Linked DNA regions of Oryzias latipes. The protein of the gene in region 1 binds, or shares a complex with, the protein of each later gene. Links are inferred from orthologs where the notes say so. Each region holds a gene or a part of one and is shown on either strand. Other genes may lie near its edges.

Evidence for each region.
Region 2: the proteins of rab3gap2 (region 1) and rab3gap1 are in contact, whole or in part, in a cryo-EM structure (PDB 8VYB), measured with the Homo sapiens proteins. The link is inferred for Oryzias latipes from reciprocal best matches to the Homo sapiens genes RAB3GAP2 and RAB3GAP1. Residues at the interface, in NP_036546.2 of Homo sapiens: Arg197, His198, Pro199, Gly200, Ser276, Pro277, Phe278, Asp279, Met281, Lys282, Ser285, Asn286, Ile287, Gly289, Phe290, Asn291, Ala292, Ile294, Arg377, Phe378, Gly379, Leu380, Pro381, Asp382, Arg385, Cys395, Thr397, Leu398, Arg407, Arg415; in NP_036365.1 of Homo sapiens: Thr19, Ser21, Trp23, Glu24, Glu142, Ser143, Asn146, Leu147, Leu149, Ser150, Ser153, Ile154, Ile169, His170, Trp173, Arg174, Met176, Arg187, Asp189, Glu191, Met192, Val193, His194, Leu195, Arg196, Pro199, Tyr202, Ile211, Ser214, Lys215.

Annotation. Positions count from the first base shown.
Region 1 is NC_019880.2:20,252,250-20,256,788, forward strand, and holds the start of rab3gap2 (rab3 GTPase-activating protein non-catalytic subunit), read left to right. Parts: upstream 1-1,579; 5' UTR 1,580-1,836; coding exon 1,837-1,945; intron 1,946-3,105; coding exon 3,106-3,194; intron 3,195-3,280; coding exon 3,281-3,389; intron 3,390-3,467; coding exon 3,468-3,549; intron 3,550-4,143; coding exon 4,144-4,191; intron 4,192-4,267; coding exon 4,268-4,343; intron 4,344-4,430; coding exon 4,431-4,532; intron 4,533-4,539. UniProt on the Homo sapiens protein: Regulatory subunit of the Rab3 GTPase-activating (Rab3GAP) complex composed of RAB3GAP1 and RAB3GAP2, which has GTPase-activating protein (GAP) activity towards various Rab3 subfamily members (RAB3A, RAB3B, RAB3C and RAB3D), RAB5A and RAB43, and guanine nucleotide exchange factor (GEF) activity towards RAB18.
Region 2 is NC_019877.2:24,428,892-24,432,988, reverse strand, and holds part of rab3gap1 (rab3 GTPase-activating protein catalytic subunit), read left to right. Parts: intron 1-156; coding exon 157-260; intron 261-675; coding exon 676-788; intron 789-3,742; coding exon 3,743-3,845; intron 3,846-4,058; coding exon 4,059-4,097. UniProt on the Homo sapiens protein: Catalytic subunit of the Rab3 GTPase-activating (Rab3GAP) complex composed of RAB3GAP1 and RAB3GAP2, which has GTPase-activating protein (GAP) activity towards various Rab3 subfamily members (RAB3A, RAB3B, RAB3C and RAB3D), RAB5A and RAB43, and guanine nucleotide exchange factor (GEF) activity towards RAB18.

The DNA.
Region 1 (4,539 bases):
TATTTGCTAAATTGCTGAATAATTATTCTGATGAATTGAGAATGACTAGCTTGGAGAATCTATCCACCATCTGAGCCTGGGGGTGTCCGTGTCCCTGTGGAGCGGGTTCTGGTTCTTGCCCTCGAGCGCTCCCCCTCTCCAAAATTCCATCAGTTTGGGAGCCTGGTTGGCCCATGTTCCCTTCACTTGTGGGGGACCCCCACTTCTCTCGTGGGTGGGGAGAGCGGCCCCTGTCTTGCTCTCTCCTGGACTTTCCCAAGGTCGGACAAGTGGTTGCCTGGAGCGTGGGGCAGGTCTCTCTTGGGGGGCCTTGGTTCGTCCCTGGGGTTGGAGTGGGGGGATGCTCAGAACTTCCAGGTGGTGGTGGGGTGCTTGTCTGGGGCTGGGGGGAGGGGGCTCTCCAGTGTGTGGAGTCCAATGCTGGGTCCACTGATGTGCAGAGAGGGCTATTCTTCTGGCTGGGCTGGAGCTTGCATTCTCCGTGCCCCCCTGCTCTTTGGCGTTGGGGACCCCTGTGGCGGTCCTGTGGCCCCTGTGGGGACCCCCCTGGTCGAGGGTGGTTTACTGGATCTGGATCTGCTATGTGTCTGGTGAGCCCTGGCTGCCACTGTTTCTGCAGTAGGGGTCTTGGTGTGGGGGTAGCCGGGTGCTCCACTCTTTTAGCATTCCATCATCCACCACCGTAGAACAAAAACACTCACCTGAGCACAGGTGTCAGCTCACGTTTGCACCTTTGTAAATGTGTTTTTTTATACTATGATGGGTTCCAGTAGTACAAACTACATCTAGTTTTTAAATATATGCAGAAATGTTGCTAAAAACGCGAGGACTTCTGTGAATAATGTTTCTATGTAGGGTAGTGGAAGGACTTCTGCTTGAACAATCGAGACCCAGAAGAGGAAAAAAAAAAGGCTCAAAGCCATTAAATGATCAGGAGGAGATTGTCTATGTAAGTGTACTACAGAGTAAACTTAGTCTGTACTTAAAGTTAGGCAGTATTCTTGAAGTTTACTTTTTAAATTATGGAAAATAAAAATGTTCCAATTTAGAAATATTTCGTTAGTATACTTCCTACATACCAGATGCAAGTACTGTAGTCTACTTACTATATTCAATCACTGTGTACTTAGTCAAATAAACTTCAGGTGTACGACTTTTGGTAAAGTGTATATCTGCAAACATTTTACAATCTCTGATGATTTTTTTCTTTTTTGATTTTATTGCATAGTAATGTATTTGCGTCCTTCATTTAAACTTGTCCTGTCCGACAGCTGAGCAAGCAGATCAGAGCTGAAGGCTCTGCATTAATTATTTATCATGGATCTGGATCCTTCTGTGAAGAATTGAAGGGAAATAAAACATTTGAACGCATTTTAATGTCAAAAAGCTTTGCATGCAGCAAACTCCAAAGTGTTGATGGAGCGACCTCAGCTGAGAGAAAAACACCACTGGAACATATTAAGTGTAGAAGAATTACGATCACATCTGATTTCAAATGAAAAAAGTTTAACTCAGCTTTTTTTGCTGATAAAAACAAGAGGCTCCTGCGATGCTTTTATTTTGAAATTCCAAATGGATCCCTGACCCGGAAACACAACAGCAGCAGTGTTCCGATGCTAACGATGTGTCATCAACACAACAGGCGAGAGTAAACCCCTGTCCTGGTCGCTGAAGGAGCTGCTCGACGGGACTTGGACGTTTGTCGTCGGGAATCACAAAGTTCACGCGCCGCCGGACGTGACCGGAAGTCTTCTGCCGCGCCTTTAGCAGGAACTAAGGCTAACTGTCCGACCCCTCGTCTGCTGGATTCCCGACGGGATCGGCCGGGCGGCAGGGATGTCTTGCAGCTTGCTGGAGTTTGGTCGGCTCCAAGAGCTCAGAACCGTTCGGGACTTTTTGTTCCAGGGTCAGAAACCCGATGCGGCGGAGGAGCGGAACCAAGCAGGTGAAGTGTTTGCCTCCCGCCGCACATTTCTAGCCGGCAGGTTACATATAATGTGGCCATGATGATGACGGGCATTTTTTTGTGAAACAGACTCCTCACATTCATGTTTCCGGTTTCCCAGTAAAGTTATTGTGAGAGATGCAGCTTGGATGTCATATCTGGACCATGAACGATCATAACTAGTAGTTTTTCATTACATTGTGTTTATGTATTTAGTTAGCTGAAGTCACTGACTCAGTGGCAAGGCTCTGAGAGTGGACGAAGTCCTCCCTGAGTACCTCAAGTGTCTGGATGCTGGGAGTGTCTTGGCTGACACGTCTCTCTGCAGCATCGCGTGGCATTTGGGAACTGTACCACTGGACTGGTTTTCCTCTCGGACATTCATTCATACTGTGTGATGGTAACTACTGATGTAGCCACAGCTGCCCTGGGGCAGACTGACGGGGGTGTGGCTGCCAGTTTGCGCTTACGGCCCCTCTGACCATCACCTGGACATTCATGCATGCACATTCACACACCAGGGAGGGTGAAGGGTCTTGCCCAAGGACACAGTGGCAGTTAACTGAGGGGGACGGGGTTTAAACCACTGACCCTTCCATCTCCGTCTGACCTCCTCAACCACCTAAGCCACTGCCGCCCCAGAACACTCAACACTAAGGTTGTGTCTGAATGCCTTCACTATATAGTGCGTTCGCTGTTTTGTAGTGCTGTCCGAATCTACAATTCCAAAATTCAGTGCCCTAGAAATTTCCCAGAAGTCTCTGCGGAAAACCAGTGTGCATTGATGCTCACTAGATTGGCGAATATAGACCACAATGCGTTGTGTCTGAACTATTTTTGCTTTCAAAAATTGTATTTTTCAAATAAACCATCAACGTTTTTATCTCCAGAACTCAGTGGATTCATAAATAATCGTCACAAAACGTTCAAATAAATTAGACTTTCACTTCACTAAAATTCAGAGCATTAGATAGTCCCACACTAAATAGTTTTTAGTAGTTAGGGGTTAGGATGGGAATTCGGACACAGCTTAAGTCACTTCCTTTCTGTTTATGTCAGTAGTATCTTTCCCTTCTGTTTATGACAGAGAAATAAACAGACAAAACCTCTAAGCTCTATGTAGACATCCTCTTCCTGACGTTTGTTGGAATCTTCTCCAGATAATGAACTTTCCTGGGACACCTCAGATTGGGAATCAGCATGGGACACTGAGAATAATAAAGTGCAGGAAGGTGCTTCTTCCACACAGGTCTGGCCTTTTGCTTTATTCTATTATTAATGTTTTAGGATTTGCTATGGTGACGCACAGAGGTGAAGCTTGTCTCTGCTCTGCAGGACTGTGCAGCACCAAGTGGACCCTGGCTCCATGACTGCATCGTTTCCCTCTCTCCCTGCTCTGACCTGCTGGTGGTGGCCCGGGAACAGAAGGCGGTTTTCCTCTCGGGTCAGACCTTACACACAGTCTGCCTGACTCTTAGCAGTAGTTTTTATTTGAAAGGTGTCTCTGTGTTTGTCTTTGCAGCCAAGTGGCGTACAGATGAGAGTGGCAGAGAGGAGATGACCCTGGGGCTTTCTTGGAGTGGAACGCTCAGCACTGAGGAGGGGTCCGATTGTTTATGTTCTTAGTAGTTTAGCTTCTCCATCATGTCAAAGACCAACCCAAGCTTTAGTTTGGCTCTCAGTTGAAGCGGCTCTTTGACTGATGGACTCTGTTATGTACTGTAGTCCTGTTCTAATCTCACTGTATTTACAAAATAAGCAAAGCTACGATTAAGGAGGTAAAGAGATTTTTACATTATTTTAACTTAAAAAGAGATTAAACTTATGCCTGTTGTCCTCTTGTTCTACAGAGTTGATATCTTTAAAAGGCATTAAGGGTTTTCTAAATTATTATTTGTCATTACTTAATCTCCCTCCTTAACCACATTCTCTAATTATTATTCACTTTGTGTTCCTACCTGCAGCAGAAATTTATTGGATATGAAATGAAAAACAGAAATATTGGGCGTGCAAAATGATGCAGTCCCAGTTATTTTACATCTCAAGTTTTCTTTTATCTTTATGTTTGTATTCATTAGTTTATTAAACTAGTTTTTAACAATTTTATCGTGTTTATCTTTTATTGTACAGTGGCATTTGTGTTAAAGTGCTTTATAAATAAAGATGCTGATGAAGTTAAAACGGGTTTTTCTCTCCAGAGAGTGTGTGAGCAGTGCAATAGCAATTCCGCTGGCAAGCCAGAAGAGGTCAGAGCAAATATGTCGACTGTTGACATAAAAAGTGTGTATTTGTGTGTACTTACCTTGTTGTTGTTGTGTGTAGAAGCTCCACTGGGCGGCCGGACTGGACCTGTGTTGTAGTCGGCTTCACTTCTGGTTATGTTCGCTTTTACACAGAGGTACCTGTTGGACTTAGGCTGGTTTTCTGGCTGCATTACTGCTAATGTCAGTCTGTTTTGTAATTATAAAAATAATTGTGTCTTCAGGGTGGGGTCCTGCTTCTGGCTCAGTTACTGCATGAGGACCCTGTTCTCAGACTCAAATGTCGCACCTATGAGATCCCTCGCCATCCTGGAGTAGCTGAACAGGTGAGAG
Region 2 (4,097 bases), on another chromosome or scaffold:
ACTAGAGGCACAAGCCTTCAAAGAACCTTTAAAATACCACCTTTCCTCTAGATCTCTTCAAGTTTGAACGTCTGATCCAGAGTTCAAACGTTTCTTTTTTACATTTCCTTCTTTTGTTTTAATCATCATTCCTCCATATTTGTTCCTGGGCCTCAGAGGCAGCAGAGAATGTTCCAGCCGTGAGGAAAAGCATTCAACAAGCTGCCAGTCAGGTCAACAAGCTGCTGCACTCCACCAACCTAGACTACAAGAGGTTTGAGGTTAGTGACAGTGAGTCCAGCGGCGTTTCCTCATCATGGATGGATCTTCACTCATCAGCTTCATTTTCATTCTAAATGCTTAACAGCCACAAAACTGCTTTTTATTCAAGTCCCACTCTGACATCTTTTGGTATCCAATTTTGTGTTTCCTGTAGCTTTTTAACAAGAAATATGCAGTTTTTAGCCTAGATACAGAAACGAAGTTTCTGCAGAGTAGCAGGAGTTCGTTAGAAATTCACCTCAGAGTTTTACAAACTGCGGATAAATTCTCTGATTTGATAAGTTGATCATTATTGAAGCTTCTTCTTTTCAGTTCTGTTTTTTTCCCACAGTTTTTGAAATATTTGATGAAATGACTTTCTATGATGAAATGGGTTAGGGTTATTTTTTCCTGAACTAGTCTGTCTGCCTGCAGGAGTTTGTGAAGCAACTGGCAGGAATGGAAACGGCCATCGCTCAGGCTCGATCGCTGAAGGCCAAGTTCACCTTCAACAATGAAGACCAGAGCGAGGCCACCGAGCTCAAGAAGTGAGTCTGACTTAGGGGGTGGAGCCTGAGTGTGGAGGTGGAGCCTGACTTTGAGGGTGGAGCCTGGCTGTGAGGGTGGAGCCTGACTGTGAGGGTGGGGCCTGGCTGTGAGGGTGGAGCCTGGCTGTGTGGGTGGAGCCTGGCTGTGAGGGTGGAGCCTGACTGTGAGGGTGGAGCCTGGCTGTGAGGGTGGAGCCTGGCTGTGTGGGTGGAGCCTGGCTGTGAGGGTGGAGCCTGGCTGTGTCGGTGGAGCCTTGCTGTGATGGTGGAGCCTTGCTGTGATGGTGGAGCCTGGCTGTGAGGGTGGAGCCTGGCTGTGAGGGTGGAGCCTGGCTGTGTGGGTGGAGCCTGGCTGTGAGGGTGGAGCCTGACTGTGAGGGTGGAGCCTGGCTGTGAGGGTGGAGCCTGGCTGTGTGGGTGGAGCCTGGCTGTGAGGGTGGAGCCTGGCTGTGTCGGTGGAGCCTTGCTGTGATGGTGGAGCCTTGCTGTGATGGTGGAGCCTGGCTGTGAGGGTGGAGCCTGACTGTGAGGGTGGAGCCTGGCTGTGAGGGTGGAGCCTGGCTGTGAGGGTGGAGCCTGGCTGTGAGGGTGGAGCCTGACTGTGAGGGTGGAGCCTGGCTGTGAGGGTGGAGCCTGGCTGTGAGGGTGGAGCCTGACTGTGAGGGTGGAGCCTGGCTGTGAGGGTGGAGCCTGGCTGTGTGGGTGGAGCCTTGCCGTGAGGGTGGAGCCTTGCCGTGAGAGTGGAGCCTTGCCGTGAGGGTGGAGCCTTGCCGTGATGGTGGAGCCTGGCTGTGATGGTGGAGCCTGGCTGTGAGGGTGGGGTCTGACTGTGAGGGTGGGGCCTTGCTGTGAGGGTGGGGCCTTGCTGTGAGGGTGGAGCCTGACTGTGAGGGTGGAGCCTGGCTGTGTGGGTGGGGCCTGGCTGTGAGGGTGGAGCCTGGCTGTGTGGGTGGAGCTTTGCTGTGATGGTGGAGCCTGGCTGTGAGGGTGGAGCCTTGCTGTGATGGTGGAGCCTGGCTGTGAGGGTGGAGCCTGGCTGTGAGGGTGGAGCCTGGCTGTGAGGGTGGAGCCTGGCTGTGTCGGTGGAGCCTTGCTGTGATGGTGGAGCCTGGCTGTGAGGGTGGAGCCTGACTGTGAGGGTGGAGCCTGGCTGTGAGGGTGGAGCCTGGCTGTGAGGGTGGAGCCTGACTGTGAGGGTGGAGCCTGGCTGTGAGGGTGGAGCCTGGCTGTGAGGGTGGAGCCTGACTGTGAGGGTGGAGCCTGGCTGTGAGGGTGGAGCCTGGCTGTGTGGGTGGAGCCTTGCTGTGAGGGTGGAGCCTTGCCGTGAGAGTGGAGCCTTGCCGTGAGGGTGGAGCCTTGCCGTGATGGTGGAGCCTGGCTGTGATGGTGGAGCCTGGCTGTGAGGGTGGGGTCTGACTGTGAGGGTGGGGCCTTGCTGTGAGGGTGGAGCCTTGCTGTGAGGGTGGAGCCTGACTGTGAGGGTGGAGCCTGGCTGTGTGGGTGGGGCCTGGCTGTGAGGGTGGAGCCTGGCTGTGTGGGTGGAGCTTTGCTGTGATGGTGGAGCCTGGCTGTGAGGGTGGAGCCTTGCTGTGATGGTGGAGCCTTGCTGTGAGGGTGGAGCCTGGCTGTGATGGTGGAGCCTGGCTGTGTGGGTGGAGCCCTGCTGTGAGGGTGGAGCCTGGCTGTGTGGGTGGAGCCTGGCTGTGAGGGTGGAGCCTGGCTGTGAGGGTGGAGCCTGGCTTAGTGGGTGGAGCCTTGCTGTGAGGGTGGGGCCTTGCTGTGAGGGTGGAGCCTGGCTGTGAGGGTGGAGCATGACTGTGAGGGTGGAGCCTGACTGTGAGGGTGGAGCCTGGCTGTAAGGGTGGAGCATGACTGTGAGGGTGGAGCCTGACTGTGAGGGTGGAGCCTGGCTGTGAGGGTGGAGCCTGGCTGTGTGGGTGGAGCCTGGCTGTGAGGGTGGAGCCTGGCTGTGTGGGTGGAGCCTGGCTGTGAGGGTGGGGCCTGGCTGTGAGGGTGGAGCCTGACTGTGAGGGTGGAGCCTGGCTTAGTGGGTGGAGGCTTGCCGGGAGAGTGGAGCCTTGCCGTGAGGGTGGAGCCTGGCCGTGAGGGTGGAGCCTGACTGTGAGGGTGGAGCCTGGCTTAGTGGGTGGAGCCTTGCTGTGAGGGTGGGGCCTTGCTGTGAGGGTGGGGCCTTGCTGTGAGGGTGGAGCCTGGCTGTGAGGGTGGAGCATGACTGTGAGGGTGGAGCCTGGCTGTGAGGGTGGAGCCTGGCTGTGTGGGTGGAGCCTGGCTGTGAGGGTGGAGCCTGGCTGTGAGGGTGGAGCCTGGCTGTGAGGGTGGAGCCTGGCTGTGAGGGTGGGGCCTGACTGTGAGGGTGGAGCCTGGCTGTGTGGGTGGAGCCTGGCTGTGAGGGTGGAGCCTGGCTGTGAGGGTGGAGCCTGGCTGTGTGGGTGGAGCCTGGCTGTGAGGGTGGGGCCTGACTGTGAGGATGGAATGGCTGTGAGGGTGGGGCCTGGCTGTGAGGGTGGAGCCTGACTGTGAGGGTGGGGCCTTGCTGTGAGGGTGGAGCCCTGCTGTGTGGGTGGAGCCCTGCTGTGTGGGTGGAGCCCTGCTGTGAGGGTGGAGCCTGGCTGTGTGGGTGGAGCCTGGCTGTGTGGGTGGAGCCTGGCTGTGTGGGTGGAGCCTTGCTGTGAGGGTGGAGCCTGACTGTGGGGATGGAGCCTGACTGTGAGAGTCCAGAGTTTATCTTCCAGCTCCCAGAATTCAAACTGACCGATGTGAAGCGTTCCTGCCATTAAAATCCCATCGATTCAACTGAAAGAAGGCTGGGCCTCTAGAGTATGTTGTCGAGTGAGCGATGTTGCTGTGGAAACAGCATGACGTGCTTTTACATCCCTGTCTGCCTCTTTAACTAGCGGTTCCAGAACCTTCATGAGAACTCCTGTGTCTTAAAGGTTTGTGAGCTCCCTGCTGGAGGAGCCTGAGGTGGAGGTGACCGGAGCTGGACAGGGACCAGCCGGCCGCATCATTCACAGGCTTTTTGTCAATGCACAGCAGGTACGCAACCCCACCCTTCTCAGAGTGTCCGCCCACCCCCCTGGTGGTTGGTGCTGATGTTGTCCAGCCTTTGTAATATTTAGGGGCGTTGGGATGTGAACTTTTAATGTAAAGGTGTTTCTTCCCTAAGCTGCTCTAATTTCATGAGCTTCACACTCTGGTTCCTGACTGCTTTGTCCTGCTGCGTTTGACCTTTGACCTCTGATCCTTCAGGCAGCGCTCCTCCCTTTGCCAGACGAGGATGTGGGAGGG